2 linked regions of the Mus musculus genome follow. The protein of the gene in region 2 interacts with the protein of the main gene of each other region in a pairwise test. Links are inferred from orthologs where the notes say so. Each region holds a gene or a part of one and is shown on either strand. Other genes may lie near its edges.

Region 1 (3,682 bases), on a different chromosome or scaffold from region 2:
CCTTCTTCCTCCTCAGCGCCTTCCTCTTCCTCTCCCTCCTCTTTCTCCTTCTCCTCCTCTTCTGCTTCTCCTTCAGAGGGGGGCTCATCCTTGGCCTCCTCAGCTTTCGTAGCCTCAATGGTCTCCTCGACCTCTGTCTGCTCTTCCTGGACGTGGCTGGTATAGTAGGCTGGGAAAGAGCGAGCAGACATCAAGTAGGAGCTGCTCTGCAAGCCACTGTAAGCAGAACGGCCGAAGACCTGCGAGCTCTGAGAGTAGCCGCTGGTTATGCTACCCACGCTGGTGAAACTGAGCCTGGTCTCTTCGCCTTCCAAGAGTTTTCTGGTGGAGAGGGAATGAAGAGTACAGTTAGAGCAAGGCTGGATGTGTTCATTGCTCTAAGCCCACATTCATTACTTTCCTCTACAACCAACCTCAAAGGCAAATACAAGAACAAATACGGTTAGGCATAATCAAAATTTAATAAGGAGTTCACGAGAGACCCCACCCAAAAAGACCTTCTATGCATCCCTATTAGGTTTAAAATATGAATGCTAAGAACAGGGCTTATGTTACTTCAGGGTTAATTCCCTACACATTTGTACCCTCTTGGAGGAAGACCAAAGTAGGACTATTCTAGAGCACGTGGGACTCACTATAACTGCACTGACTGGGTCATCTGCTCTGTCCTGAGCCGCCATGCCCACTGCCAGCACCACCCTGATGTTACCTGTAAGCTGCAATCTCGATGTCCAAGGCCATCTTGACATTGAGGAGGTCCTGGTACTCCTTCAGGTACCTGGCCATCTCGCTCTTCGTGCTTCTCAGCTCATTCTCCAGTTTGTTGATTGTGTCCTGTAGGAAGATTGTTTTAAAAAATTCAAAACACAAATCTCTACTGCATTTGTTTTACTGTAGTATCCATGATAAGTTCTGGTCTTAGTTAACTCCAAAGTGTACACCTTCCAGAAATCTCCCTTAAAATAATGGGGTGGGGTGGGGCATAGGGGGAGGGGTTGGCCTAAAATGCCCAGTCTAGTGAAGCAAGAGAAGGAGAGGAGGAAGAGGAGGGGAGTAGACTGATGTGAACAATTTTGAAAATTGTTCTCAATTGATTATGGTAAGCTGTCTTTTAAAACTACCAAATTGATGATGATATTATTATTATTATTAACCACCCTTGTCACATTTCTTTTAGCCAGGTCGCATTTGGGAAGGGGAATATATATATAGTGTGTGTGTGTTTGTCTAAATAAATATATAAATAAAAATTAAATTATATATATTTGTGTAGCTGTTTGTCTAAAATGCTTCCCCCCGCCAAAGATGAAGAACTTTTTTTTTAATGGACTGCAGTGATTAATTGCTAAAATATTGTGACTGTATTCTTGTGTCCCTATTAAAAAAAAAAACTATCCCAAGGCTGGGTGGCCCAAAACTAGTGAGAGCTAGCAGGCATATTTATTAACCAGGAGATCCAGGAAGTACTGAGGGTAACTTGGGAGTTAAGGGTTGTCAGTAAAGAGAAGGCATTACTTGGCAACGCCCAACTCCGACTCCCTCCGCCCCTTCCTCCCAACTCACCCCTAACAACCCTGATTCAACCAGAACAAGCAATCCCCAGGCAGCAGTCGCGCCCCGCCCCCTCCAAATGCCCCATCCTTTCCACAACCTCTCGGAAGCCAAGCCCTCTGATAGCTGCTCTGTGCTCTAGAACCCCCTAGCGTTCACTCTCTGGGTACACCCTGACTCCCCCCCCCCCCGCCGCCGCCCCTACCGTGGACCTCCCCACCCCCACTGAGCTTAAACCGTACTATACCTGCATGGCGCTAATGTCTGCATTCTGCTTGTCCTCTAGCTCCTGCAGCTGCTTCTCCAGAGCTTCGTTCATACCCCGGCAGGCTTCGATCTCCAGGGTCTTAGCCTTGAGCAGGCGGCGGCTTTCCGACACCTCGTCCTTGGCAGCGCGCACAGCGTCGGTGTTCTTGGCGGCGCTCTCGGTTAGCACGGTGAAGCGGCTCTTGAACCACTCTTCGGCGTTCTGCATGTTCTTGGCGGCCAGCTTCTCGTACTGAGCGCGGATGTCCTTGAGAGCGGCGGAGAGGTCGGGCTTGGAGGACACGTCCATCTCCACGGAGATCTGAGCATACTGGATCTGAGCCTGCAGCTCGGCGATCTCTTCCTCGTGCACCTTCTTCAGGAAAGCTATCTCGTCCATCAGGCTGTCGATGCGCTTCTCCAGCTCGGCGCGGGCGAGCGCGGCCTCATCCGCACCTTTGCGCGCTTCCATCAGCCGGCCCTCGGCGTCCTCGCGGCTCAGCACTTCTTCCTCATAGCGAGCCTGCAGGTTGCGCAGAGTCTCCTCCAGCCCCTCGCGCTCGCCCTGCAGCGCCTGCTTCTCGTTAGTGGCGTCTTCCGCTGCCAGCCGCAGATCGCGGATCTCCTGCTCGTACAGGGCGCGGAAGCGGGAAGGCTCAGAGTGTTTCTGGCGCAGCACCAACAGCTCGGCTTCCAGGACCTTGTTCTGCTGCTCCAGCTCGTGCACGCGCTCGATGAAGCTGGCGAAGCGATCGTTGAGGTCCTGCAGCTGTGCCTTCTCTTGTGTGCGGATAGACTTGAGGTCGTTGCTGATGGCGGCTACCTGGCTCAGATCGAGATTCTCCAGGCTGGGCATCAAAGAGCCAGAGCTGGACGAGTAGCTGCGGCGCACGGACAGCGAGGAGGAGACCGGCGCGGAGTAGCTGGAGTACGCGGAGCGCGCCGTGCTGTAGCCGCTGCGCACGCTGGAGATGTGCACCCGGGGCGTCTCCACATAGCGCCGCTTGTAGGAGGTCGAAAAGTACGGATCGTAGCCGAACGAACTCATGGTGGCGGCCGGTGCGCCCCTCAGGCCCGGGGCGGAGATGGGGGACCTAGAGAGAAGAACGGGGGAGAAGAGGGAAAGGGGAGGATGGATGGCTGTGTGCGGCTCGGCGCGGTCCTGCCACCTCTATTTATACGCCGGGACTCTGACGCAGACTGTGATCGATCGCCGTGCGCAGGCCAGTGGGGGCAGCGCGTTGCTGCAGCCAAGGGGAGGATTCTGCGCAAAAGCAAAGGCGGGGGCGAACGACAGAAGGCTAGCGAGCTGCGGCTCCAGCCTGGCCGCTTTTCTATGAGGACCCCTACTTTCTCTGAGACCCCCATAACTTCCCTGCTTATTCTTTTCCTTTCCTATTCCCCCGTCCCATCCTGCCTCTTAATACCTAAAGCCCACATCACTAGGACTCTTAAATGTTCCAAATAAAAAGGTTCGCGATCCCTACTGACACATCAACTTTTAACATCCAATGTCACAAAGACACCTTCACCCCACCCCACCCCACCCCACCCCACTCCCAGCTTTCCCTTTTTGCCTCAGGGACCCTCTCAAGCACCCTGATTCGTGTTTAAGCAGCACGTTTGGGTTGCTGACAATAGCTAATGTTCTTGCGGCATTACTGCAGGAAAAGTTTTGCATGTCTTTGTAGCTATTTTCTGACGTTTTCTTAAATTCGCCCCACTTTCTCCTGCCTCCTTTTATTTTTATTTCTATTTCTTTCCGTATTACTCTTCTTCTCAATACATAGGGAAATTGCACCACTACACACCATTGGAACCGCAGGACAGCGGGTGTTCATTTTGGCATTTTAAAACCTTTACAGCAGTTAATTTGTCTGACACC
Region 2 (3,745 bases):
AAACAAAACAAAACCTGACTTTGGCTTTGCTAGAAGGAAACTGAAGTTTATGTCAGTGTCCCAATCCTTAAGGAAGACAAGGTTTCTCCTTTTATATGCAAACTTAAATGCAGGACACACCCCTTCCCCTCGAATAGAGCCTTCAATAGATGAGACAGTGCTTGCTTCCAGCTGGGGGCCTACTGGCCAGGCCTGGCCTGGCACCAGGCACCCTGTGGGGCCTAAGTCCTTGTCTCTGTTTTTGCTCCAGATTCTTGACACGTGGCTCAGCAGCGGAAGCGGGAAGCAGGCCCAGAGGAGGCAGCAAGGCCCTCCCTAGGTCTCTCCTAGGCCATTTCTGGCAAGCCTGAAGGGGTAGACCCTCACCCTCCTCAGGTTATCTGGGGACCATCAGCCTCTGCGGGACAGGCTCCTGTGGCACATTCTCCTTCCGCACTCCGGAGTGGGCATACTGGGGCTGGAATAAATGCCTCTCTGTTTGGGAGACAAAGAACAGAGTGGCTCCTTTGGGTCAGCAGTCTCTCTTGGCTGCCTGAGCCTTCTCTCCCCCAGGCCTCTTCAGTGGCTCCTAGACGCCCCAGGAAGGAGCTTTTAAAGACAGACGGTGGAGCTGTTTTGCCGGAGCTTAAGGGAATGCGTTACCTTAACAAACCCCAAGCCTGCTGCTCAAGAAAATATTTATTGGTTGGGGGTGCAGGGGTGCAGCTGGCAAGGCAGGATGCCAGGCTGGGCACAGAGAGAGGGTGCACGCCTGTGTAACAGAGCAGGTGAACGTGTGGTATGCGTGTGCTCGATCTCGCGTGCAAGAGCTTGTGTGAGGAAATGTATTAAGATGTGAGTCTGTGTGTGTGTGTGTGCCAGTTGTGTGTGGATCCTAGCTGGCGTGCGTGAAACTTCTGCACCTGGGTTTGGGGTGGAGTACAAACCGTTTTGAGGGTGAGTGTTAACGTTAACTCCTGGGTAGGAGTAATGGGTGAGGGCGAGTGTGCAGGTACGCGGTGTGCAGTGGAGGGTGTGAGCCAGCTCGGAAGGGGCAGGCAAGGTGCGCCTGGGCTCGTGCACCAGTGGGTGTGCGCACAAGGGTGTACCAGCCTGTGTCGGGTGGATGGGTAGGATAAGAGGGGAGGCATGCGCCTGGGGTGGGCGCGTGCGCGAGAGTGCGCGTGCCCCCCTCCCGAGCCCGTTACCATGGGAACGCGCCGCGGCCTGAGTTAATCATTTCCTGTGGAAAGTGCGGGAGGGGCGGGCACGGGGCGGGCCAAGGAGGCAGCGGCGGCGGCGTGGAGCTGCCTCGCGCGGGCGGGCGGGCCGGAGCCGGCCGGAGCGGGCCGAGCCCGGGGCGCTGCGGTGGCGGCGCTGGGATCCTGTCTCCGCTAGGCCGGTGAGTCGGGTCCCGGCAGGCTGGGGGTGGAATGGGACGGGCTCCTCCCGGCGCTCCTGCTGGGCGCCGCGCCCGCCCTGCCTGAGGACCCCCTCTTTCCCCGACCCGGTGGGTGTTGCGATCAGGCCCCAAGAGACCCGGCTGAGCGCGGGGCTCCCACTGTATTGGTCCAACCGGAGGATCTTGCAGAGACCTGGGCGTGAGGGTGGCACAGCCTCTGGGGTAGCGCCACCAAGACCGACTCCTTGGAGGGGGAATGTGCAGTGCCTACCTGGGAGCTGCGGGTCAACCAGTGAACCCCCTCCCCCTGCAAGGGTCGCTTCCAGGAAGGCTACTGTTTGGGCCCTCCCTCTGTGTCCCCCGAGTAGTTCTCCCCCATCCCCCGGGCAAGGCCCGAGGTGGGGTGCGGCAGCCCCTAGGTTAGGAGGGAGGGCCTCAGAAATACCCTCTCAAGCTGAGAGGGATCAAGTCATTGACAGCTGCGGCTGAGGAATCCCTGCAGGGAGGGGAGCCCAGAAGCTGTCTGTCCCCTCAGCCTTTCCACTGCAAGTAACAGGAGAACTCTGGCTGACACAGTGAAAGGCCGGGTCCTGAGACATTTTAAAGAGGAAGCTGGATTTAAATTCTTAAGTAGTATTTGTCACCCTTCCAAAACATACACACACACTTTAATGCATTTCTCAAGCTTGGGCCTTGGGACTACCCCTAGCTTCACCTTCCTTAGTGTCCTTCTGCCCCAGACTGGGTAAATGCCCTTCCTAGTCTGGTAGGACTTATTCCCCATGCCCTTCATAAAGGGGCAGTCTCCTTGGCTAGAGAGAGTCATTTGCTAGGAATGCAGTCCCAGAATGGTTTTGTGTATTGGAGTGGTTGGACTTCAGGGTTTGGGGATGGTAAGTTCTGCTGTCTGTATGGGTACCAGAGAGCAGAAAATTTGAAATCTGGATGCACCAGAACATGTGTGTGCCAGGGATACCCTAACCCAGTCTAGCCATGCCCCCTCCCCCAAATGCTCACCCAGGAGAACTAAGCTATCCCCTGCAGTGGTGTATAGGTGACTATGAGGTCTACACACACACACACACACACACACACACACACACACACAGAGAGAGAGAGAGAGAGAGAGAGAGAGAGAGAGAGTGAGTCTTTGCCCTGTCTCTGGTTTAAGACAGGAGGAAGGCAGATCTACCATCCTTAGCTAAACCCAGAGAAGCACATGCCCCTCCCCCAAACAGCTTCCGCATTCACCCACCAATGGGACAGTTTACCAAGAGATAGCAGCATCTTGGGCCCTTTGCCTGTGTCCATACTTCATATGTGTATTTTCTGATGTCAGCCCTGAGAAGTACAGTTTTCACCACTTGATACATGAAGATGATAAGGCAAAGAGCAGGTAATTAATTCTTCTAGGTGGCGGAGCCAAGGTCTGACCTAGCCCATAGCTCTACTGCATGATTTCCAGGTCACTAGAGGTCCCAGGACCCCAGACCTAACACCTGTGTAAGGAGATGATGCACTTGTCTCTTGGCCTAGAACCCTGGGCTTGTTTGAGATTCCTTGATACTCCTGACCTCACACCCGGGTTTCCAGCTGCTAAATTCAGCTGCCTTTTCCTCTTGGGGACCTAGCACACACCCTTCCTCTTTCTCCAGGCTGCCGCTCCAACTTCCCTTCCTGATAGCACAGAAATATGCTCCCCCACCTCCTTGACTGAGCTGATCTCTCCTAGAATCCTCTGCCCGTCATGGTCTCAGCTTGGTACGAGCACCCACAGAGGATGGTCCTCCCAGCTTCACCCCCTGGCCTGCAGGGTCGGCTTCATGCACTGCATCAGGCCACCTGGGTAGGGCATTTGTATCTGCTCTCTGCTCCTCTGGCTTCTCCCACTTTACACCCATCTCAAGGCATCCATGGGATGGGGGATGGGGTTGATCAGCATCTTTCTGACCCCTTCCCCCCACATTCCTGTCCTCTCCCAGTGAGTACCCCACACTTGACTTGTCTTCAGTCAGGGGAGGAAGAGACATGACCCACTGTCTTCAGTACTTGCCCCTAAAAGCATCAGATCAAAAGTCTTCAGTCTCTGACTCCAGATTCTTGCTATTTGTTTCCTGTCTCTAGATGCATTGTTCCTGTACCTCTGTCTACCCCTACATGTCACCTCTCCCCTGTTCTATATAGCATATTCTCTCAGCTCCATCTCCTCATCATCCTGGCTGAACTTCCCTCTAAGAAGGAAACAGCTGCCTCCTAGGCCCTTTCCAGTCCCTTGAGTCGCTTTGAAACGGCTTTGCAACCTAGGCTGGTCTGGAACTTGCAACCTTTCTTTTTGTTTTTTCGAGGCAGGGTTTTTCTGTATAG

The links. The genes of interacting proteins can lie anywhere in the genome.
Region 1: the proteins of Kifc3 (region 2) and Nefl interact in binary tests that used the Homo sapiens proteins (3 or more experiments, as listed by UniProt). The two-hybrid records come from large-scale screens. The link is inferred for Mus musculus from reciprocal best matches to the Homo sapiens genes KIFC3 and NEFL.

What each region holds. Positions count from the first base shown.
Region 1 is NC_000080.6:68,083,126-68,086,807, reverse strand, and holds the start of Nefl (neurofilament light polypeptide), read right to left. Parts: upstream 2,946-3,682; 5' UTR 2,846-2,945; coding exon 1,799-2,845; intron 835-1,798; coding exon 710-834; intron 322-709; coding exon 2-321; intron 1-1. UniProt on the Homo sapiens protein: Neurofilaments usually contain three intermediate filament proteins: NEFL, NEFM, and NEFH which are involved in the maintenance of neuronal caliber.
Region 2 is NC_000074.6:95,140,068-95,143,812, reverse strand, and holds the start of Kifc3 (kinesin-like protein KIFC3), read left to right. Parts: upstream 1-1,255; 5' UTR 1,256-1,381; intron 1,382-2,493; exon of another isoform or gene 2,494-3,227; intron 3,228-3,745. UniProt on the Homo sapiens protein: Minus-end microtubule-dependent motor protein. Involved in apically targeted transport. Required for zonula adherens maintenance.